Mytilus edulis: one gene and its partner. The protein of the gene in region 1 purifies or fractionates together with the protein of each later gene. This does not show direct contact. Links are inferred from orthologs where the notes say so. Each region holds a gene or a part of one and is shown on either strand. Other genes may lie near its edges. The genes, in order: ubiquitin-like modifier-activating enzyme 6 and ubiquitin carboxyl-terminal hydrolase 48-like.

Region 1 (13,767 bases):
TTTTCTAGCCTCGCTCTGCTCGGCAAAAATTTAAGTTTGCACCCCTCCTAACCTAAAATCCTGGATCTGCCCCTCATATGGTTTAGGGGTGGGGAGCTCGACCGTTTCCAAGTTATCAAACAGGAGGGGGTAGAGTGACTCAAAGAATACCACCTATATATCATATGATTTACTTACATTAAGGTATATATAATATAGTTGCATTATTTGTGAAAATAAAGAAAGAAACTTTCAGCTACTTTAATTGACCCTTCAAAATTGAGAAAAACAAATAACCCTTCAAAATTGCAGTAATATGTTTACACTTTAAAAGCATCTCACATGCATTATCATCATTTATCATTTATAAAGAAAATTTAGACTGTGACCATGAACATGTATATTATTAGATATACTGTTCCCAGCTGTCACTTTGTATTGGATTTTTAGATTAAAAATTTGTCAAAAAGTAATTTTGAGTTTCTGAATAAAATATTTTTCTGATTTTTCTTTCTTTTACATATATCTTTTGGTTTACAATTCTAGTGTTTATATTCATTAATTTACCATGCATAGATGTGTTGTTTCACCTGCTTGGATTTATTTTGTAAATGATCGCCAAACCCGGAAGTACCCTTATCCGCTTCCGGAATCGGATCCGATATTATAAAATTTGGTCTTCACGGCCGCCATTGTTATGTGTTTACAATGCTGTTTGTGTCAATCAGATACGATTTTACTCGAATTTATACAATATTTGTCGGCGATTTTCTGCATAAAGCTAGCGGTTGAACAAAATGAACATCGCTGTCACGACTAATAATGATAAAAATAAGTTTTTAGCTCGTTTAATTGGAGACTTTGGTGAACATGGTGAAAAGGTTTGCAAAGTAATTTCTTGTTTTCTTTCAAGTGGAAGGTGACTACGTCGGGCGTAGCTAGAAACTAACTATCCTATTCGAAATTCCGCTTGCAAAAGTGGACGGTCGCGGACCTCGGACCACCGCTAATTTGCACACTTGCCTCCAAAATGAAAAGCTACGAAAATTTCTTTTTCCAATTTGAAATTGCCGCCAACAGCATGAACAGTTGAACTTATTATATAATAGACTACTGACGTAGTTGTACTACGTATTGATGACAAACAATATTCCTACGACTTTTGTCATTTGGGAAATCTAAACTACTTGTCTTAAGAGATTTTCGGCGATTAAATATTTCATACAATTGTTCTTTGACATCTTAGCTAAAAGCACAAGTCATAATGAACTACACAAGGATTCTTAATAAGCACTACTTCCTATGTGTAACTTTAAAACTTTTGGATAAATTGACGATCATTTAAGGTTTTTCTGGTCATATTTTTTGTAATCCAGAATAAAAAGTATTAAAAAAGTGTTCAATTAGTTATATATAACATAGTAGCGAGCTAGATAATAACAATGGCAAGTATTTCAGCATTTATTGGGTAGAACACAAATCTAGGGTGCTCGCATAATGCAGCTTAACTGCATAAAAACATATTTATATATTAATTGCATAATTTATATACACACTACATTTTGAATATCACTATAATAAAGCATATCTCTATTTTATTATGTTATTCCTCTATTGTAACCATACCAAAACTTGCTTCCCGTTCCACTGTTCTGTAAGCCATGTCTCAACTCTGAAATAAATATACAACTTAATTGGATTAAATTCATTTAAAATTGATCGACAAGGACAGTTTTCAGTAGCAAATATCACATACCTACTTAGCAAGTTAGGGAAAAATATGATTTGCGTAAGCCATGTTACAGTGTTTAAGTAATAGACAGACATATATATATATATAAACAAGTCTAAATTGAAAACTACGTTCAAACCTATGATTACGTTGGATAAAAACCGCAATTTTTATACGTGTGCATGTAAAACAAATTTCGTTGTAGAAGGGTCTAAATATATAATAGGCTCAATCAACCTGTAGATTGCAGATATTGTTAGAGGTATTTGGACTCATTGCTACATGAAGGATGTCCAAAGTCAAATGTATCACCGTACTTTACATGTACATTTGTAGTATCAACATAAAAATATCATTGTCAAAATTCAGGGCTACATGTAGTTTCACTAACCCCATATTCATATATGTAGTGTTGCATAGTATAGATAATATCAATTGGATGAGCCTATTTACTTTAGCACCAACTAATAATACTAGATGTCACTCCTTAAACCTCTTTTAGAAACAGTGTAAGAAGACACATACATCAGTCAGGGGTACTACTTATACAAGTAATTTACTTGTATACATGTAGGTAAAAAAAAAACCTAGTTATGTCCCTTAGACATTCAGATGTCATTCTATCTTCTTTTCTTGAATTCTTAGGATTTCTTTGCTCTAATAGAATTTTAAATGGTCTGCCCTTTGCAGATGACTTTACTAATCATTTACTGTAAGTGTCATTTGATGGACAATGAAAATCCCATTTGTTTGTTATCTTCAGAACACTGCTCATTTAAAAGCCCCCAAGGAGCAATTTTTGAAGGCCTTGCACAAATACTTAAAAAGTAAAATCACAAAAATACTGAACTCCAAGAAAAATTCAAAAAGGAAAGTCCCCAACCCTTACCATGCGGTGACTGTCATGGGGGGGAGACCACTGTTATTTGGCTACAAAATATTTTTAGAAGTACGCTTTATGATACTTATACTTGTACAAGTAGTACCCCTGACTGTACATGTAGACTAAATACTTTTTTCAATTGGATCAGTGGAACAGCCTTCATATTTAACAGTGACAGCAAAGACTTTGAATAATTTTAAGTCAGTGTTAAATGTGAGAATTGGAACCCATATAAATCTATATATTCATGTTAATTGTTAAGCTAAGCGCACCTTAATAAGTTCTATTTTTATAAGTATAATATATATAAATCATTTTTCTGTTTGTGTGTGTAAATATATTTTTATGTGATTATTATGAGATGAGAAATTGCATTACAACAATCCAAGATGAGGGGTCAGTAGAAGACTTTGGCTTATTTCAGGACCCGAAAATAAAGTATAAAGGTGGTTTTCTATCAATTTCAATATGAACATACATTTAGTATGTTTAATAGTATAGATATATTTTACAGACTTAAGATGTATTGAGTGAAAGTAAAGTATATATTCATCATTTAACACCATTTAAATAAGTTGGTTCGAGTTAGCAGTGGTACAAGTGTAACGGCGACCCTATGTTTTGGAACAGAATTATGTCCCTTTAAAATGGACTGTTGTAAAATTAACATTTAATTACTATTGTTAATATGAATTATTGATAAAAATTGTTGTTTAACATGTTTATACATTTAGTTACATTATTGTGCTATAACTCATTGAATTTATTCTCATATTTTGTTGAATTTGCAACTTACAGTTTAGTTATAGAGTGTTCATATTTGAATAGTATTTATTAAATAACTGATAATTTAAATAATTGTACGGGGCTTGTTTTCATAAGCCATTTGGTTGATAAAACGACCTCTTATTTTAGCTTTTTAGTAAGAGCTTACTGGTGTTGCACACCTCGATGTCTAACTGGTCTTGCACAGACCTCAGTCACTATTTACACAAAAGGTCTGGCACAGACTTCATTGTCTAGATGGTCTTGCACAGACCTTGCTCACTGTGTACACGAAAGGTGTTGTCAACACGAAAGGTGTAATGCATTTCACAGTATCTAGACACAATGTCGCTGTTGTGTCTAGAATTATAATGCATTTAGCTAGACAAAGGTTAAAATGACAGATTAAGCTATGTCACTTTTAAACTGTATGTGAATTTTAACTTGTTGTTCATATTCATGTTTCATGTTTTATCTTTACAAATTGTTGATATTTGTGGAATTATATGTAATTTGCTAATAAACTATGAAAACTTGCTAGTGTTAAGTTTTGCAAAGCCAAATATGAAGGATCAGAGACTCAGGATTCCTATACCTACTCTTTACACGGTCTGGGGTAAAAATATGTTAAAGTTGACACAGAAAATACACAACGTAAAAACCCCTCCGGTTACATTTTGGTGGCAGCGGTGGGATCCTGAGGTGAAACATCTGATCTTCTCATTAGGCGGCAATGCTATTGATATAGTTAAACATGTTAAGTAAAATTGTCAAATTTTAATATTGTAAAATAAATGTCATTATGCTTGCTTGATGTTAATTTTGATTTTAAAAGATATTGCCATGTATATGTATGTAATAATGATGAGTAATCATTTCAGTTTAACTTTAGAGACTGATTATAGATTGGCACAGAGATAAAGTATGTATTGATATTGATAGAATGTAAATGCAATTAATTGCATAGATGATAAATTTGAAATGGTTTAAAGAAAGCTTAACTTAGATTGTTTAGATAGAATGGTATATTTTGATTATATTTGTCTTACTTAACACATTCAGTAATTACACATAGCTCAATATAAATGTGTATGAATCCGCAGGAACAGCATTGTAAAGTACCTCATTGTTGTATCCTTTAGACCCATGAAAAGGGATGTCGCTTACATCATTTTATTTTATGCTAACTTGCTTCAAGATTATTATGTTTATGTGGATATAAGCTTGGATGTCAACATAATTGTTTCTGCCCGATTGACGTGTTTTAATCGCTAATGTGTGCCTCTGGTTCACGTAATCGCTTTTGGCCTTTTATAATAAAGTGCTGGTTGTTGCATGATTGTTTTATTCTATAGTAAATATCTCTTAAACACATACAGAATACATGTATCTACATCTTAGACAGTTACATTATTTCCATAGCATTTGACACAACAGTTTACTGGGTGACGATTCAGTTTTACTATTTGTTTAATTTTGTTGTTCAATTTTTCAGCACTTGTTTTCAGTTTATGGTGATAATATGAGATAATATACGCGTGTTAGAACTTATATTGGAGATGACCTGGCCAGCATTTCTAGTATTCAAATGGTGAATGAGTTGGACTGTGTACCGTGTGCAATATATATGGATGAAAATACTGTGTGTATATAATGGAGATTCATACCAGCCTTGTTTTTAAACTTCATGGCTTCAGTTTTTTTAAGGAGGGAGGAATGTAACGGCGACCCTATGTTTTGGAACAGAATTATGTCCCTTTAAAATGGACTGTTGTAAAATTAACATTTAATTACTATTGTTAATATGAATTATTGATAAAAATTGTTGTTTAACATGTTTATACATTTAGTTACATTATTGTGCTATAACTCATTGAATTTATTCTCATATTTTGTTGAATTTGCAACTTACAGTTTAGTTATAGAGTGTTCATATTTGAATAGTATTTATTAAATAACTGATAATTTAAATAATTGTACGGGGCTTGTTTTCATAAGCCATTTGGTTGATAAAACGACCTCTTATTTTAGCTTTTTAGTAAGAGCTTACTGGTGTTGCACACCTCGATGTCTAACTGGTCTTGCACAGACCTCAGTCACTATTTACACGAAAGGTCTGGCACAGACTTCATTGTCTAGATGGTCTTGCACAGACCTTGCTCACTGTGTACACGAAAGGTGTTGTCAACACGAAAGGTGTAATGCATTTCACAGTATCTAGACACAATGTCGCTGTTGTGTCTAGAATTATAATGCATTTAGCTAGACAAAGGTTAAAATGACAGATTAAGCTATGTCACTTTTAAACTGTATGTGAATTTTAACTTGTTGTTCATATTCATGTTTCATGTTTTATCTTTACAAATTGTTGATATTTGTGGAATTATATGTAATTTGCTAATAAACTATGAAAACTTGCTAGTGTTAAGTTTTGCAAAGCCAAATATGAAGGATCAGAGACTCAGGATTCCTATACCTACTCTTTACACGGTCTGGGGTAAAAATATGTTAAAGTTGACACAGAAAATACACAACGTAAAAACCCCTCCGGTTACACAAGTTTGCATTGGTACGAGTTTTTTTTTAGTGGTACGAGTTGACGTTGGTACGAGTTTACAATGGTACGGGATAACTATAATTCAAATGTCGCTATTGGTTATCAATGCACATGAGTCATGATGCACAGTAAAACTGAAGGACCTTTGAGAATAGTCACACAATATCTGTTTTCAAACTAAAACGTATAATTAATATAGTGTATTTGTAAAGCATGTCTATTTGTAATTATAAACATGTCAATGAAAACCAAACGGATGTACATATGCATAATTTCTTCAGTGGTTTTTATGTTTATAATTTGTGACAGTCTGATTTTTACAGTACTTCAACTTCGTTTTGACTTCAGTGTTGCAGCTCTGGTGCTTTAAAACAAGAATTCGCTAACAATTAATTGTAATTACCATTTTCATACTATATTCTCTGTTATTATTGTCCTTTTATTCTCGATGATGTCATGGTCAGCAGCGAAATGACAATTCAAGAAAAGATAATCTATTATTGATTTTATAATGTCAACTTCCGGTTTAATATTGAGAGGCTCAAGAAGGGTTATTATTTGATCTATTAGATCTACCAGGTATTAAGTTGAAGTATTTCATGTCGAATAACCTTTTATGAATATGAGTAACTATAAATGTTCATTGGGTTTATTTTCTGTTACATGAATAATAAGGAAATAATAATAAAAATCGTTTATGCAATTTACTAATACCTGAGGATTTTTTTTAATTCTGGCTTTTGTGCTTGTCTATACAATTTTACTATATGTCTGCAACTACTTAACATAGTTTTAAAATTATTCGTTTCTTTCGTTAAACTATTCAAGAAATTTGAAATAGGGCCTTTGAGTCCTTTGAAATAATTATGAGTTTTTTTACGAGATATCAGAGCCAAGTTCGGGATGACAATATTTATATTTTTTAATTTTCCGCTGGGCTTTCACAACTTCCGGTTAATCTGGAGTGATTTCCCTTTGGAAATGTTTTTTATTTTGCAGTTTCTAGCTCTTTGTTTCTGATACAAGCTGCATAATGTAAGCATATTGACAGTTATACACTTCAATCAAGTATTTTTGTTATGAAGATGAAGGTTGAGTCCCTTTTTCATGACTAATAACATATTCAAAATATTTGGTTTGTGCTATTAAAAATTTCTAGCTTTTTGGGTCCAAATTATAAAAACAACTATTTTTTGTTATCATCTCCTATTATATATGTAAGTTCGTGGTCTAGTTATTTAGACTGATGTGTACAGTGCTGAAGGTTCTGAGTTTGTCTAGGGTGTTAAAATATCAGTACAACAGTGGTGATTTTAACCCTCTGACACATATCTCTGTCTCTGGTACCCAGACCGTAGTAAAATCTAGAATAGGTAATTAGGAGGCCTTAGTTGGTCAAAGTTTCTCTGGAATTTGATCTGGAGATCAATCTGCGGATATCTTTTCGGTACTGTTTTCTGCCATGCAGCCCGGTGGTACTTACAGAGTTCTTCGGCTTTCTCCACCATAATAACAGATTCTGCCCTGTGTCCAAACACTCCCTCATGTTTGGGTGGGAATTGTCTTTGTAAATATTGTTGTAAACATGTTAGTGACACATCTTCATTTATCCCGATAGGGAGTGAACACAGATTCCACTGTGCCTACATGTATGCAGCTCTCAAGGGGTGCTCCTTAAACCGAGGGATCTACATACACACAGTACCATTCAAACGGATCGATTCGATTTCCGAGTTTTTTGAAGCCACACAGAGTACCGCGGATTTCACTCCCTAATTCCTGCAAAGATTCTCTCCCAACTCCGCGTGGCTGTTAATTGGTTTATTGCCCATCGGATGTACTAAAAATTAACAAGGCGTAACAACATAATTGGATTAGCCAGATAATTTACCTATGTACATTTTGTACATTTAATCGATCTTGATTGCACAGGTGTGCTATAAAATCACGGTATTAAAATTTTTTAACAAATGTTTTCCTTCCTTTGTCAGATAAAGATGTGAAATTATAATTTAGAATAAAATAATTATTATCTTACAGGTTTTTGTCCCATGTCATTATCTTTGAAATAATTTTACCAAAAAAAAAATGAAGAAATTTATTTAAACTCAATTTATTGAGCAATGTAAAATATTATGTTTCACCACCTCGATACATTTATACAGACTTGAATAATTAAAATTAAGAAAAGAAACTGTAAAGTGACAACTCTGTTGAACAATTGGAATAACTTCAAGTGATTTTGCTAGTGTTCGTCATTTTCGTATTTTACGAAACGGTTTTCAAATTGACGAAAGTATTTTATATCAATTGCGTCATTTAAGTTTTGAAAATGTAAAAATATATCGCATTAAATTACTATAATTTTACCTGCCTTCATGTTTTTGACAAGTTTATGACACTCAGCCATTGAACGTTTACAAAAGATGTTAAAAGTTGTGATAAGTAATCTGCTTATCGCCATCCGATAGGTCACTAATCCTTTAAATATTATTAAACCTCAATTGCCCATCATAATATTCTGTTCCATATGAGCGTCACTGATGAGTCTTATGTAGACGAAACACGCGTCTGGCGTACTAAATTATAATCCTGGTACCTTTGGTAACTATTCCAGTTAAATCAGTCAGCGTTTCATTTTCAAAATTTCTAAATTGCCCACAGTTGGCAGTTTTTTATCATATTTTTGTCATTTGATCACAATTGATTCCCCCGTTCAATATCTCATCATAATTTCAATTTTTCATCAACCATAAATTTATATTATTGACCATGGACGTATAACTAATGTTCAGGTCTATGTCCTGTTTTGACCGATAATATAAAAAATTAAATAGCTAAAGAAGATGTGTTTTTGTTTATTCGGAAAAGAATTATATTTTAGATTAGATACATTTTGTGTAGTTAATCAATTGTTAAAGGACCTTGTGGAGCCTCAATAGAAACGCACAAAAATGTCTTTCTGCAACTTTTAAACCTGAATGAATTTTCCCACGGTCGTCCAGAAAGATCACCTGAGTTTACTGGTACGTGATATTATTTGCCGCCCTTTAAAAATCTTGTGCTGCGGATAAAACCAATGTTAACTATTGTTATACGTCTGCAAAATTGAAAATTTTTTGGTCGTATATTGGTATCAAGTTGGCGCCATCGTCTGTAGTCGTCGTCGTAGTCGGATGACATTTGGTTTTCGCACTCTAACTTTATTAAAAGTAAATAGAAATCTATGAAATTTTGACACAAGGTTTATGACCATAAAAGGAAGGTTGGGATTGATTTTGGGTGTTTTGGTCCCGACAGTTTAGGAATTAGGGGACAAAAAGGGCCCAAGTAAGCATTTTTTTTGGTTTTCGAACAATAACTTTAGTATAAGTAAACAGAAATCTATGAAGTTTAAAATTATGTCTATAACCACAAAAGGAAGGTTGGGATTGATTTTGGGAGTTTTGGTCCCAACAGTATAGGAATTGGGGGCCAAAAACAGGTCCCAAATAAGCATTTTCTTGTTTTTTGCACAATAACTTTATTAGAAATCTAATTATTCTGATTTAGGGAGTTTTGGTCCCAACAAATTAGAGGCCAAAAGGGTCCAAAATTAAACTTTGTTTGATTTCATCAAAAAATGAATTATTGGGGTTCTTTGATATGCCAAATCTAACCGTGTATTCAGATTCTTAATTTTTGGTCCTGTTTTCAAATTGGTCTACATTAAGGTTCAAAGGGTCCAAAATTAAACTTAGCTTGATTTAAACAAAAATTGAATTCTTTGGGTTCTTTGATATGCTGAATCTAAACATGTACTTAGATTTGTGATTATGGGCCCAGTTTTCAAGTTGGTCCAATTCGGGGTCCACAATTGTTATATTAAGTATTGTGCAATAGCAAGAAATTTTCAATTGCACAGTATTCTGCAATAGCAAGAAATCTACAATTGCACAGTATTGTGCAATAGCAAGAAATTTTCAATTGCACAGTATTGCGCAATAGCAAGAAATCTTCAATTGCACAGTATTGTGCAATAGCAAGAAATATCTAATTGCACAATATTCATTGCTATTGTTGTCTTTTTTCAAAACTACCGGCTCTACCGTTTTTTATTGGGAAAAATGCATATTTTTATTGAAATTGGAAAATTTGTATATTTTATTTTGAACACATCTCCGATTTTTTGCTGACCTTTGCTGTCTTTTCTGCACTGTTTTTTCATGTATATTTTGGTTGTCAGACATTTTCAACCTGAAAGGTACTTTTTGGAGAGGGGAAAGACACAGAAACAATGATGGTACTTAATGCATTGAAAACTATGTGTTACAAACACCATGAAATTTTACAAAAAGGAAAGATGGACCAAGCAGTATGCATGGAATGCCAAGCTAACTGCCTCCATCTACGACTAGATTAGCTGCTTACATCTAATTATATGCTAAGACCTTGGCAGGAGTTCACCTTTTACTCAAATTTTACGATATATGAAAGATTTTCTCTTTTTTTATTAATTAATGATAATTTTTATTTTTTAATTGGTTACATTATCTCTTAAAATCTATTACCATACTGCCATATATTTAATCCCATTCTTATTGTTTTTGTTTGATCTACCGTACTTATTTTTACCTTTTACCCTTTGATTTTATCATTTTTCTTTCACATTTAAATCCTTTTTTTTTTTTTTTTTAAATCTATTAAACATATGATAGTAACGTCTCATAAAAAGGGATCAGAACTGTTTTTAAAATCATAAACTCCAACCTAGGTAGAATCAATTCATAAATGATGTAAATAGCACATAATTTTACACAATTGTTCTTAAAATTCACAGTTTTACCTATATATAAGGTTTTTTATATGACCGCAAAATTTGAAAATATTTTCGTCGTATATTGCTATCACGTTGGCGTCTGCGTTGGCGTCTGCGTTGTCGTCGTCCGAATACTTTTAGTTTTCGCACTCTAACTTTAGTAAAAGTGAATGGAAATCTAAGAAATTTTAACACAAGGTTTATGACCACAAAAGGAAGGTTGGTATTGATTTTGGGAGTTTTGGTCCCAACATTTTAGGAATTAGGGGCCAAAAAGGGCCCAAATAAGCATTTTCTTGGTTTTCGCACTATAACTTTAGTTTAAGTTAATAGAAATCTATGAAATTTTGACACAAGGTTTATGACCACAAAAGAACGGTTGGGATTGATTTTGGGAGTTTTGGTTTCAACAGTTTAGGAATTAGGGGCCAAAAAAGGGCCCAAATAAGCATTATTCTTGGTTTTCGCACTTTAGTTTAAGTAAATAGAAATCAATGAAATTTAAACACAATGTTAATGACTACAAAAGGAAGGTTGGTATTGACTTTGGGAGTTTAGGTCCCAACAGTTTAGGAATTAGGGGCCAAAAAGGGACCCAAATAAGCATTTTTCTTGGTTTTTGCACCATAACGTTAGTATAAGTAAATAGAAATCTATGAAATTTAAACACAAGGTTTATGACCATAAAAGGAAGGTTGGTATTGATTTTGGGAGTTTTGGTCCCAACAGAATAAGGGGCCCAAAGGGTCCAAAATTAAACTTTGTTTGATTTCATCAAAATTGAATAATTGGGGTTCTTTGATATGCCGAATCTAACTGTCATGACTGTGTATGTAGATTCTTAACTTTTGGTCCCGTTTTCAAATTGGTCTACATTAAGGTCCAAAGGGTCCAAAATTAAACTTAGTTTGATTTTGACAAAAAATGAATCAGTTAGGTTCTTTGATATACTGAATCTAAAAATGTACTTAGATTCTTGATTATTGGCCCAGTTTTCAAGTTGGTCCAAATCGGGGTCCAAAATTAAACTTTGTTTGATTTCATCAAAAATTGAATAAATGGGGTTCTTTGATATACCAAATCTAACTGTGTATGTAGATTCTTCATTTTTGGTCCTGTTTTCAAATTGGTCTACACTAAAGTCCAAAGGGTCCAAAATTAAACTTAGTCTGATTTTAACAAAAATTGAAATCTTGGGGTTCTTTGATATGCTGAATCCAAAAATGTACTTAGATTTTTATACGACCGCAAATTTTGAAAAAATTTTCGTCGTATATTGCTATCACGTTGGCGTCGGCGTCGTCGTCGTCGTCGTCCGGCGTCCGAATACTTTTAGTTTTCGCACTCTAACTTTAGTAAAAGTGAATGGAAATCTATGAAATTTTAACACAAGGTTTATGACCACAAAAGGAAGGTTGGTATTGATTTTGGGAGTTTTGGTCCCAACATTTTAGGAATTAGGGGCCAAAAAGGGCCCAAATAAGCATTTTCTTGGTTTTCGCACTATAACTTTAGTTTAAGTTAATAGAAATCTATGAAATTTTGACACAAGGTTTATGACCACAAAAGAACGGTTGGGATTGATTTTGGGAGTTTTGGTCTCAACAGTTTAGGAATTAGGGGCCAAAAAAGGGCCCAAATAAGCATTATTCTTGGTTTTCGCACAATAACATTAGTTTAAGTAAATAGAAATCAATGAAATTTAAACACAATGTTAATGACTACAAAAGGAAGGTTGGTATTGATTTTGGGAGTTTAGGTCCCAACAGTTTAGGAATTAGGGGCCAAAAAGGGACCCAAATAAGCATTTTTCTTGGTTTTCGCACCATAACGTTAGTATAAGTAAATAGAAATCTATGAAATTTAAACACAAGGTTTATGACCATAAAAGAAAGGTTGGGTTTGATTTTGGGAGTTTTGGTCCCAACATAATAAGGGGCCCAAAGGGTCCAAAATTAAACTTTTGTTTGATTTCATCAAAATTGAATAATTGGGGTTCTTTGATATGCTGAATCTAACTGTCATGACTGTGTATGTAGATTCTTAACTTTTGGTCCCGTTTTCAAATTGGTCTACATTAAGGTCCAAAGGGTCCAAAATTAAACTTAGTTTGATTTTGACAAAAATGAATCAGTTAGGTTCTTTGATATGCTGAATCTAAAAATGTACTTAGATTCTTGATTATTGGCCCAGTTTTCAAGTTGGTCCAAATCGGGGTCCAAAATTAAACTTTGTTTGATTTCATCAAAAATTGAATAAATGGGGTTCTTTGATATACCAAATCTAACTGTGTATGTAGATTCTTCATTTTTGGTCCTGTTTTCAAATTGGTCTACACTAAAGTCCAAAGGGTCCAAAATTAAACTTAGTCTTATTTTAACAAAAATTGAAATCTTGAAGTTCTTTGATATGCTGAATTCAAAAATGTACTTAGATTTTTTATTATGGGCCCAGTTTTCAAGTTGGTCCAAATCAGGATCTAAAATTATTATATTAAGTATTGTGCAATAGCAAGTCTTTTCAATTGCACAGTATTGCGCAATGGCAAGAAATATCTAATTGCACAATATTGTGAAATATCAAAAAGAAATTTAATTAGAGTTATCTTTCTTTGTCCAGAATAGTAAGCAAGAAATATCTAATTGCAAAATATTGTGCAATAGCAAGATTTTTTTTTAATTGGAGTTATCTTTCTTTGTCCAGAATCAACTTAAATCTTTGTTATATACAATATACAATGTATATTCACTTTTTACTACCAACTGATAAATTAAAATAATCTTTACCATTCAGTGATAACAAGCAGTTTTTTTTACATCTTAATATTGATGTATTTAAATGAGTAGTTATTGTTGCAAACTCCATTAGAAATTTTAATTGAGATTAGTTTTGGAATAAGGGAAAGGGGGATGTGATTAAAAAAATTGGGTTCAATTTTTCTCATTTGAAATTTCATAAATAAAAAAGAAAATTTCTTCAAACATTTTTTTGAGAGGATTAATATTAAACAGCATAGTGAATTGCTCTAAGAGAAACAAAAATTTTAAGTTCAT
Region 2 (13,174 bases), on another chromosome or scaffold:
TTAGTGTATAGACCAACATGTATGCATTACGTGATGAATGATATCCTTTAGGACATCTGCCTTTTTGTTTACCGCCTGTCTCTTCTGGATCGTCCTCGGTACCCAACTGAAGCTTACTTCCCTTCATTTTCTCTATTTCCTCATCATTAAATTTATACCAGTTTTTACTGTTGATATCTCTGATATGTGCAATATAATGTCCACTGTAAGCAGTGGGACCACGGTGTATCAATACAGCTGTAAGATTGTATGTAACAGAATTCCCGTCAACACCTTCAGCAGTGGCTGAATCGCCAGCACAATTATTCACAGTCAAATATTTTGTCATATCAATTTGTTCAGGAAACTGAATAAAGCTGTTCAGTTTCTTTTTCATTCCAGTTTTCTTGTCAAAAACAAATCGTAAAAGTTGTAAATTGAGAACAGGTGGAAGGTACTTTAAATGTATTTTTCGTGAAGCATTCTGTTTACTATTGCACGAAGAACACATATACTGGTTATCTCCCTCTAATTTCTCTTCCTGTAAAAAATCTTTTAAAGATTCGTCTAAAGTTTTATGACCTTTTATACTTAAATCCAGTTCATAGAATGTTGATGGTCTTTCAGATTTTGTCCCACATCTATTACAAGTAGTAACGTATGCATATTCTCCCCTAAACTGATTTTGAATAACATTTCGCACACATGCATCCTTTTGTCTAGATAAGGCATCTTCTAATAATGTTAAAAATAGATTTGAAAATTCCTGAGCGTCTTGCTGCTGACCAGCATCTAAACCTAAATGTGTTATGAAGTCTTTAGGATCTAAATATCTTCTCTCAGATAATGAAAGTAAAGCAAATAATGCTTGAAGATGACCCCCAATGGAAGAAGGTGACCATTCTGCTGTTACATCTCTAGTCACATGTTCATCTGGTTCTCTGAATTTGTAAAGTGCATTTCGGATAACAGGATTATGAAACCATAACTGAAGAAATGTGTTTACATAACAGGTGGCTCCAAGATTTTTGAGTCCAACAAACATATCATCATCCCGCCTCTCATAATTTGGATCTTCAATTTGGTGCCAATCATCATCATCAATTTTCCCGAACCACACTCTTTCTCCTATTGCATTGAGACAAAGGGGATTTCCTTTGCAGTTCCGTTTACAAGATCCTAACGGACATGGTTTTAAGTTCAATCTGTATGCTGTCCGAACATGGTCAAACGTGACATTATCAGGATCAGTTGTTTCTGCCCATTGCCAAGCTGCTTTATCAAGCTGAAACTTTGAAGGCATCTTCAAAAACCTGAAATATATAGTATTATGTCTATTAGTCAACATTCTAAAACCAGTGATTATGCTAGCATCCTTAATAAATCTTACATATAAAACAATCAAAGTTAGAATCAGGCAAAGTAAGTTCTTTGACCTCAGTATTCTGTGATCAGACAATAACAGTACTGTATTTCAAGAGTTTTCATGGGTAATTGTAGATTTGAGGGTTGCAAATGAAGTTTTACTATCATCCTAGAGTTAATTACAATGTTTAGAAGGCTCGCAGTCTTTTCAATGTGTTTTTCCTTATTTTAATTTATCCTCAATTTCAATGCAAGAATATAAACTTCCAGTTAAAAATGTATCCTAAGCTTTTTGAGAAAAATCATTTTTATTAGATTTAACACCCAAAAAAAAAATTTATTGCTGAGAGCAAGCATATATATAGCAACTTGAATGCAAAACGTAGATCCTGTTTTAACACAACAAGGTTTGACTGTGTTGTGTCCTTTCTTTGAATGTATTGACATCAATTAATTATATACATGTATACTGTGGATTCATTAATATTTATTGGGTACCAATTTTTGTGGATTTCTAGGTACAAGAGAACCACGAATTTAAATGTCCAACGAATTACAAATTTTCTATAGGAATGAGTGCAGACTTTGTCAAATCCATGAAAGCAAATATCTACGAATATGTAAGTTTTCCTTAAACCACGGAAATTGATACCCATGAAAATAAATGAATCTATAGTACTGTAAATTCAGAAATTATTGTGAAAAATGCGACAGGGTAAGGCTTAAATTAAAATATTGTTTGTTTGCAGTTTACCGACCGACCCTTGAAAATCCTCCCGATTGTGAAAATTTTATTGCTTTAAATTTGAAGAATTTTTTTTTTATTACTTCTATTGACGCGATCCGGAACTTTGGGTCCTTTCCGGAAATGATTTAAAGTCTGGGTCAATTACGCATTTCAAGTTCGGTTTTTCTTAGCTTCCCGTCAAGCGTTCATGTGACCATTTAATGATAAAGCACATGGAAATTGTTTACAGGTATCCATGAAGTCACGGGGAAGTACTTTATGCTGTCGTCTCGTGTCAATTTTAAGACAAATAACAAACAAAAAAGTTTATTAGTAAACTGTTTATACAGATTCAGGCACATGTAATGATGTGTGATGATATCATTGACGATGATACAGCGGATATTCATAACTGACACGATAACCATTCTGTCTCAAACAAATCGGGTACAGAATCTGTGGAGCCTGACTTTATGGAACCAATTTCAGTGGTTAAATAATTCGACAGCAGCTTGAAGTATGGCATATTTTCTACAAATCGTTGTGAAGACGACAAAGATGAAACCACTCCTCTGTGACTTAAATCGTCATGGATATCTGTAAACACGCCTGTACGGAGGAAGGGCTCATTTGAAATGTTAATGGATATAGATCATGCCAAATCAATAAGAACGACCCTAACTTCACAAAGATGTAGAGAAAATGAATGGTTAGCTTGAAAAATAAATATACTCTCTCTATATTAAATCTATCTTTGATTGCAATGAGTATGCTCCTTTAGGATAAGGGGGGCTGCCCCACTCATTGCAATTATTCTCTTTCTTACAATATTAAATATACCCAAACTGTGTGGCCTGTGTGAATTCAATTAAAACATGTCCTTAGGAGCTATGCTGCCAATTTTTTTTAAAGCATTAAAAACATTTCAGTACAGACCATTTACTTTTAATGGGGTGCTATGGATTTCACCCCAAACTTTAGATTTCTTTGGTTTTCATTAAAGCCTGGCAAAAATATAACCTCATCACATATAATTAAATATTGGTAGAAATATGAAAAAAGTCGAATGTCTTAATACTTTTTTTTCAAGTTGTCTTTTTTTTCAATTGAGGAAGATTCAATGGTTATTTTTTTATTATTAAAAATACACTCTAGCAACTTTACCTGACCATATAGGAAAATAGGTATTTAGTCGGATCTTAACACGTACTTGTGATTTGGTTAAAACCGGTTTTGTTCAAAATATACGAAGAAATGTTGAAATGTTCAGGACTTTTATTTAAATCCGTATTTCGGTAGGATGGTGCAAGCATACGATTTTTATTGCGTCTTACACTTTGAGAAGCGAATAATCTTCAACTACTTTATTCAAATATTGTGTAAAAACGTTAATTTTGAGCTAAGAAAGTCAAGTGGCTCGAGTATTTTTCTGAGGAAGTTTTAAAAAATTGCAAAGAAATATTTTTACATTGGATTAGCTTTCATTAGTCTTAACTATCTATAGATTAACAACTTTTGGTTATATTTATAATTTAGAATCATCATTGAAAGTGGGGGACGATTTCGCAGATAATTAATTATATTGATGTGCCATTTGTATGCATAATATATATAATTATTTGCTATATTGTGATGTTCACACTTGAATGAACTTAGTGTCTTTGTTCTTCATAGCATCCCAAAATATTTTATAGATTCTTGTACAACACAGCTTGACCTCCAAAACATTGTCTCAGATTTCCAAAAACATCAATAGAACAAATTTTATACCTAATTGAATTTAGTGGTCTCTTATGAATTGATGTTGCAAACTTCATTGAAGATTTATGAGAGAATGAAATACAATAGGAAAAATCTGAGACACGGTTTTGAAGGTCAAACTGTGTTGTGCAAGAATCTATAAAATATTTTGGGATGCTATGAATAACAAAGAAGCTAAATTCATTCAAGTATGGACATCACAATATGGCAACTAATTACATAACAATTAATTATGTAATAATTATGTCATAATGAAATTATCACAATTTGAAAGATTAATCCTTCTTTCTTTTGGTACCTCATTTATAAAATTTAAAGAAAGATGAGTGGAATTACATCAGTTTAAAGAATGAAAAATCTTTGTATTGTGCTACCTTAAACAGGATTTTTCTCAACATTGTAAAAATTAAAATCGCATTTTAGTCTAAAATAATAAGAAAATTGCAATAATAAATGTATGCAATAATTTCTGAATTTACAGTAATAAGGGCCTAGTGAAATACACTTTACCTATGGGAGCTTTAATCAGAATATTGTCTCATGTACATTTACTGAATACCCATTCATTACTTTGAGCATTAGACAGGAATTCATTAAATCAATTTATAAACTTAATAACAAGTTTTTTTTTTAAGTACCTTCAAAACAATATTTTTAGACATAAATAATATATACATGTATACTATGATAAATCATATTTACTTCCAGTCAATGACATTTTCAACATATATATATATATATATTTCTTTAAGATCACAGTAAAACACTTTTCAAAGCTCAAAGAATCAGTGCAAACACTTTTACAGGAATCAGCATGAAACAACCAACTATAAACAGGTTACACTTCTGAGTGGAGTGACGTCACTGGACTAAATGACAGGACCAGAATGAAAATGCTAATTACTTTTTTATTTCTCAAGGTTATCTCAAATTTAATATGTTATCAGATTATAAGATTTTATAATTTTTAAAATACATAGATTTAAGAAAAAATATAGAATTATTTTTTAAAAGCTTTTGAAAACATGACCTGACCAACGCTGACAATTACAGGACCAACATTGACCATGACAGCTGGACCAAATGAAAAAAATGTTAATGACTTTTTTTTTTCTCAAAGGATTTTTATCAAATTTGAAATGTCTTTTAAAACATTAATTTTTAATAAAAAACTATAAAAAAAAAATCAGAAAACATGACATGAAAAATGCTGACAATGACAGGTCACAGGACCAAATTCAAATGCTTTTTTTATTTCTCAAATGTTACTCTCAAATTTAAAATATAAGATTTCATCTTTTAACAGTCAGGGGACTTACTTAAATAAGTGATTTTCTAAATCACTGATTCAAGTAACATTATTTCCATAAAGGTTGGAAGTTAGAGTTGTCTTTAAGAATCACCTATTTAAGTAGTACAAATTAATCACTAGAAGAAGTGATTTAATCTTATTGTAGCTTTAAATATAGAATACTAATGATCCAGGGACTAATTATGTTTCTAAACTTATCAGAACCAACATCTGTGTTGTCTAGGATGACCAGGTCATTTCAGGTGATGACCTTGTACTGAATCTAGGATAATGACATAAAAATCACTTGTTTAAGTATCAGACCTCAATTTCCTTCTCAAAAATCACTTCTTTAAGTATCATTCTTTTAATAACCCCCACTAATTTCAACACCCCCGAACAGTGGAATTTTTATCACGAACAGTAGAATTTTATTACATAATCTGAAAGATGAAACCTTGAACTTCACAGGAAAAATACTCCCACTGCTGGGAAAAATCTTTTAAGAAAGTATCAGTTCATTATGTAAAGCCATTATTATAGCATTTTTTCAACTAAAATAGAATTTTCAGCTAAATGATAGCATCAAAGGCATAAACCTTGCTACTTAAAAGAAGCAAAAAGTTCATTTTTTTTTATTTTACTAATTAAAAGATATTATTTAAACCTATGTGTTTAAAATTTTGAAAAAACTACATAATCCCAATTTGTGACAAAACCTCGAATTTGCTACTCAAATAAGTGATTTAAAAATCACTTATTTCAGTAAGTCCCCTGACTGTTTAATACATAAATTTAAGAAAAAATATGAAATTTTTATTTTCTAAAGCTTGGGAAAATATAGTCCGAATAATTATGACGTCTTGAAAGGCTATTATAATTTTTTTCTTTGACGCCTTACAAGACGTCATAATTATTTGGACTAGGGAAAATAATGACAGGATAAATCTCAATGACAGTGCCAAATGAAAATGCTAACAACCTTTTTATTTCTCATGATTAAACTCTCAAATTTGAAATGTAATAAGATTCAACCAATTGATATATAAATACAGTAAAAATATAGAAAAACAAGTATTAAAGCTTGCGGTTATGTGACCTGACCAACCAGAAATTATTCTACCCAATATAAATACATTTGTATACATGTATTTCCTGAACCCTGTTGATTTGTCTTGTTTAAATTGTTTTGATTAAAAAAGTATTGTTCTTTTATGTCAGTTCACTAAATACCAAATATTCTAAAACGAAATCAGCACATAAGCAAACTTGTATTTTTTATGAATGGATATGTGATGCTACTTTCACAACGAAACTTTTAATATCAATGCTGGTTTTTTTCGGACCAGAAATAATGTTTTCATTTGTGTAATCAAAAGCTGAAACTTTTCATAAGATAAGGAAAGAATATTTACTATTTTTCTGAACATGTAAGGGGAAACAATGTCATTTCAAACGACGATTATAGTCATTCCCGCCTCAGATTCAAGAGTGAAGAGTTCTGTCCCTTTCTAATTTTTCGGGTTGATCAAGGTCAGATACATGCTTTAAAAAGATTGAGCTTGATTCATCACTCATATATTCTGGTCGAGGACGACAATAAACTGGCCGCTTTTCGAAACATGTTGTTCAATGTTTAGTAAGGCTAGTTTGCTTGGATGTTGTTTTCAGTGGATCACATCCATGCAACGTTTTGGAATGAAATATAGTATGGAGAATGTAATGGAATATTGAATGGAAGATTGAACGGAATATGGAATGGATAATGGGCTGAATGGAGAATGGAATGGAGAATGGAATCCTAAATGGAATATTGAATGTAACGGTTACGATGAATGGTAAATATGAAAATGGATGGAATGGAATATGGTGAATGGAATATGGTGAATGGAATGGAGAATGGAATGGAGAATGGAATGGAGAATGGAATGGAGAATGGAATGGAGAATGGAATGGAGAATGGAATGGAGAATAGAATGAAGAATGGAATGGAGAATGAAATGGAGAATGGAATGGAGAATGAAATGGAGAATGGAATGGAGAATGGAATCTGGAATGGAGAATAGAATGGAGAATGGAGAATTGAATGAAGAAATCCGAATCACGGAGAATGGAATTGAGAATGGAATAGAGAATGCAATATGGAATGGAGAATGGAATATGGAATGGAGAATGGAATATGGAATGGAGAATGGAATATGGAATGGAGAATGGAATACGGAATGGAGAATGGAATATGGAATGGCGAATGGAATATGGAATATGAAATGGAGAATGGAATATGGAATGAAGAATGGAATGGAGAATGGAATGGAGAATGGAATGAAGAATGGAATGGAGAATGGAATGAAGAATGGAATGGATAATGGAATGATGAATGGAATGGAGAATGGAATGAAGAATGGAATGGAAAATGGAATGGAGAATAGAATGGAGAATGGAGAATGGAATGAAGAGGTCCGAATCATGGAGAATGGAATGGAGAATAAAATATGGAATGGAGAATGGAATATGGAATGGAGAATGGAATATGGAATGGAGAATGGAATATGGAATGGAGAATGGAATATGGAATGGAGAATGGAATATAGAATGGAGAATGGAATATTGAATGGAGAATGGAATACGGAATGGAGAATGGAATATGGAATGGAAAATGGAATATGGGAATATTGAATGGAGAATGGAATATTGAATGGAGAATGGAATATAGAATGGAATATGGAATGGAATATGGAATGGAGAATGGAATATAGAATGGAATGGAGAATGGAATATGGAATGGGGAATGGAATGGAGAATGGAATGGAGAATGGAATACGGAATGGAGAATGGAATATGGAATGGAAAATGGAATATGGGAATATGGAATGGAGAATGGAATATTGAATGGAGAATGGAATATAGAATGGAATATGGAATGGAATATGGAATGGAGAATGGAATATGGAATGGAATATGGAATGGAATATGGATAGGAATATGGAATGGAATATGGAATGGAATATGGAATGGAATATGGAATGGAGAATGGAATATAGAATGGAATGGAGAATGGAATATGGAATGGGGAATGGAATGGAGAATGGAATGTAGAAGGAATAGAGAATGGAACGGAGAATGAAATGGAATACCGGGAATGGAGAGAATGGAACGAAAATGGAAAGCAACAAAATGGAATCAAACAAATTCGTCATTGGTCATTTCTGGCATAAACATTCATTTGACTCAATTACATTAGCATCACATTTGGATTATAGCTCTTCATCTTTTATATAAGCTTTGGATTTGAAATATTTTGGCCACGAGCATCACTGAAGAGACATGTATTGTCGAAATGCGCATCTGGTGCAAGAAAATTGGTACCGTTAATTTTATTTCTAAATAAACTGATATATTTTCAATCTGATAAATTGTTTTAAAAAAAGACAGAAGAAAGGTTTTCTTTAGTCTGAGACTACTGTCACACTTTTTTCAATTCAATTTTATTTTAAGTCGATATTCAACAAAACTTCATAACACAAGCTCAAGCGAGCTTTTAAAATCGACTGAATAACAAAATATATACATACAAAAGTCATGAAAAGCACACAATTCTAAACATACAGTGCAGATACCATAGATGACATATAAAAGTTAAAAGCATAGTATGCTCCATTTTTTTTCGAATTGGTTAAAAGATGTTTCCATTTGAAAATGGTTCGACAGCTCATGCCAGACTAGTATATGGTTTATAGTCTTTAGCACAAGACTGTATGGTCAATTATCGGTGTACTGCCGGATATTTTTTTTAAGACACTAATGTTTATATCCCTCATAGTTTGTTGAAAATGGTATAAAATTGGAAAAGTTCGACAAAAACAACTATAATAGTACTATATACATGTACATGTAATGTCTCTGCAGTCGGTAATTGGAAAATATGTTTACTCTTTCTCTATCAGCATACTTACTTTTTTAATCCTCTTCGTGTTCTTGAAGATATAAGGCACCAACAACGGACCTCCAACTCGTTCTATCTGAGTCCAGGTGTAACCATGTTTTTTTTTAAATCTCTGCTGGTATATCTCTTCTCCATGTGCCTTTATGTCTTCCAGACTTTCTTGTCCCTTGTGGTGTCCACGTCAGCACTTTTTTCACATGCCTTGTTGTTATCCATTCTGAATATGTGTCCAATATATTTCCACCGCCTTTTCGTGATCTCATATATATTTATATACTATATTCATCACACCGGTTCTTTCTGATAGCTCACTGCTTGAAATTACAATTGATGTTAACAATGCATCTCTAACAGCGTCCTTCAAATCCTCTAACTCGATTTTCTGTAGAACTTGTTAAGTTTAATTCCATGTTTCTGGACCGTATAGTAGAACTGATCTAACATTGCTCATATATAAACAATCTAATTTTAGTCTTTCTAGAAATTCTGTTGATTTTTCATAAGAATGTTCTTTAGACTTTTGAATGCAGTAGCTGCTTTACCAGATTTTACCAATACGGATGTTGACTTCTTAATTCTTTGATATTTCCTTCTGCATTAACTCTACTACCAAGATAGTTGGACGAATTAATTATTTACTCAGTTACTATAAACATACATGATAGCACCATTCGATGACTGCCTTTAATTGAACTCAAGCTACACATATAAAAACATGGTATGGTTTTTTTTTTCACAAATACATGTTACAACTATCACAATAGGGTTTGTAGTCATCAACATGTGAACATTGAAACAAATTAAATGATTTATTTGGTGTAGATTCCAATACAAGGATAGTCTTTTTTTGGTCGCCAAACAAAATAAGAAAATCTAGACGGCTTTCTGCAAAAATCTGTTATTTATTTATACATTGATTTGATGACATTACATACATTTATTCAAATGCAACAAAAACAAACTACCGGCAGTTCGGTAAACAACATCACCGTTCAAATTAGGATGTGAGATCCCGTTTATAATAAGTTTTCCACAAGTACCGAACCAAAATCTTTGATTCTATTGAAATAATTTAGTAAAGGTTTTAAGTTGTGTTATAAAAGAGGGACGAGAGATACCAGAGGCACATTCGAACTCATATGAAGAGTTGTCCCATTGGCACTCAGGCATACCACATCTTCCGAGTATATTTTATCAAATATCGAAAATAAAGTGACAACGCCATGGCTAAAAAAAGAAAAAGGCAAACAGACAACTTCTAGAACACAAGACACAACATAGAAAAACCAAAGACTAAGCAACACGAACCCCACCAAAAACTGGTGTTGATCTAAGATTCTTCGGAAGGATACGCAGATCCTGCTCAACATGTGGCACCGTCGTGTTGCTCATGTTATTACAATTCCGGTAAATACTATTTGCCTAAGTAGGTATGTCACATTCTTGAAAAGGGAACGGATTGTAGTCACGACATATAAGGAAAATATTCGATCACTGTAAAACGGATATTCTATAATGGAGTCAGCCAAGGGATGATTTCAACTTCACCATTTGGAACTCTTGGTAAAAAGCTATAGCTTTCTTGTGAGCAGCAAATTATAAACCTCTATAAAAAAAATCATAATAGGAAGTACAAGCTCAGGAATATTGTATCAATTGGGAGACAAATACTTCGTATTCTCAGATCTGCAGTGACATCACAACATGTAACTGACCAATAAATGATTAGCATTTTTGTTATGTAAACAATGTTGAGAGGTGATGCGGATAAGATTCCTCTAGATTTTATTAGACTATTAGTCTATAGACTTATTGCAAATTAATTTAATTGATATATATCGTAACCAGTTGAATATAGTAATTTTACTCTTTTAATACTGTTAAAGACACTATATAATATCTCTATTTTGATTTTTAACATACTATAACCTCTGGTTAAAAAATAATCGGCAATATAAATAATCAGTAATCCCCTTCAAATAGATGAAAAATCTAGAGGATTCCGGATGACATCACCTCCTGACAAATGTAAATGCCAGGATGTCCGGATCTGAGAATGCAAGCGCTGTGTAATGTTGCTACATAGAAATGGAGAGTTCACTGAAAAGACTTTTCAACCGACTCTTATTGTCAATTTCTAGACGTAAATTAAGATATGCGGCAGCTTTTATCTTTAGTTCGATGGGATAGATGCATTCAACATGTTGAATGATTTTTTGCAAGGTAGAATTTATCCCTCTCTAAGACAAGATACTTGTATTTACGTTGGCCATTCTTTTTTTTATAAACAAAGCAATAGAAATTCTTTCAATTTGCCTTCAAAGTTTAGTTTGGAATGGAGAATAATTGTGTAAAGTCAAATGTTTAAATATAACGAAATCGTTGACTAAATTTAATTTTCCACGTTTCCAATCCCTTTCATCTTTACGGATCACTCAAGTTCTGAGTTCTATCTTAAATCTAATCAGGGATTTATAACGGCAGTTTCAAATGGGCGCATTTGGTGCTCATTGGAAGACCTACACACTCCGTGTCGACAAACTGATATTTAATTTTTAATCATTTCTTGATGTCAAAAACAAAACGTAACAGTTATTCGGTTACCGGGACTACTATAGTACTCGCAGATAGTCACAGGTTATACGTAATGTGATCAGATTATTTTAAGTAGACAAATCAAGTACAGCCCAAATATTCAAAACGCACGAAAGATGCAGAGTCGATGTAAACAAACATGGAAAGTTTCACGTGGACTCAACAAAGTATCAAAACTTGTGAAAAACTCGTTGAATCATGCTTGAAAAAGCATAATATTTGTGTACAGCGGCTTGTTCTTTGTAAAAGAAACAGGGATCTCAAAAATGGTGATGTTTCCATGCCAACAGGTCTTGTAAAAGCTGTTTCGGTAGAGGTACAGTGCGTTAAAATAGACAAATTGAATAATTCGATCTGAACGGACCCGACATGCGTCTAGAAAAAAAAAACAAATAGGCATGTCTATGAAGATAACTCGGACCGAATATAATCATAACTCACAACTACATATTGACTGTGAATAGATTGTTTTCTTGGTTCAATGGTCAATGTTAAGCTTAAAGTTAATTTTGGTTAATCAGATGCATTGTACTATACACAATGGTATCGGGATTGTTCGCCCTGATTACATGTTCGCCCTAGGTTCGTTCGCACTGAGTTTGTTTGCCCTGGTAATCCGTTCGCCCTGGGTTCGTTCGCCCTATTTTCATTTATGATATGTATATATGTTACATTAATGAAAGAAATATATATTTATAAATATTAAAATTTATGTATATCTATTAACAGTTAAATACAGAATATTAATTAGATAAAATTCTTGGCTGCATTGTTACACTTTATTTTATAATTACTTTTAATTACTGTTGATTGAATTTTTATTGCTGATTAGGTATGATTTGAAATCTTTGATATCCCTGATTGGTATTGTAATATCTGTGATTATTCCGGGAACGTCACGCACAAACCTTCGGGACAATTACTTGTTACGTAACTTCGCTACAGCGATACCAATTGTATATTTGTCAGCCATTATTAAATTACTATCTGAACCATCAAGTCTTGCTCAGATCTTTCAATGGCGACGAGGATGAAAAACAAAGAAGGAAGCAGTGTTTAGCAGCGCAAATAAAGAGAAAATTTACCGGAACACAGAATTGAAAGAAGATAGTGCTAAAACAAGGAATTAAAAGAAGATACTGATAAAATAAAGATTATGGACCGAGGAGAGCCCCAGCAGATAACGGTAATTACGGAAACTAGAAATTTACGATCACAACCGTTTCTACAGTCGGATGATCAGATATCTACAGGAAAACATTGGGAAGAATGGATGGAAAGTATAGAGAGGGAATTTAGATATTTCAGAATAACAGAACCTGCGGATAAAAAGGATGCATTAATCATTTTTGGAGGAAAAGATATTTCAAGATTGGAAAGAAGCCTAAGAGATGAAGAAGGAGAAGATGAGTATAAAGTATTAAAGAACAAACTAAATAAATATTACTTGCCAAAGAAGAACAAACATCATGCCAGGTATTTATTTTTAAAAATGAAGCCATTTAGAGATGAA

Evidence for each region.
Region 2: the proteins of ubiquitin-like modifier-activating enzyme 6 (region 1) and ubiquitin carboxyl-terminal hydrolase 48-like fractionate together in Homo sapiens (co-fractionation; 3 studies listed by BioGRID, with this or other methods). This does not show direct contact. The link is inferred for Mytilus edulis from reciprocal best matches to the Homo sapiens genes UBA6 and USP48.

What each region holds. Positions count from the first base shown.
Region 1 is NC_092347.1:10,915,824-10,929,590, reverse strand, and holds the start of ubiquitin-like modifier-activating enzyme 6, read left to right. Parts: upstream 1-6,840; 5' UTR 6,841-6,951; intron 6,952-13,767. Other genes in the region: ubiquitin-associated protein 1-like, read right to left, coding at 1,606-1,642. UniProt on the Homo sapiens protein: Activates ubiquitin by first adenylating its C-terminal glycine residue with ATP, and thereafter linking this residue to the side chain of a cysteine residue in E1, yielding a ubiquitin-E1 thioester and free AMP.
Region 2 is NC_092344.1:102,352,736-102,365,909, reverse strand, and holds the start of ubiquitin carboxyl-terminal hydrolase 48-like, read right to left. Parts: upstream 6,665-13,174; 5' UTR 6,539-6,664; intron 1,293-6,538; 5' UTR 1,283-1,292; coding exon 1-1,282. Other genes in the region: DALR anticodon-binding domain-containing protein 3-like, read left to right, coding at 11,801-11,977.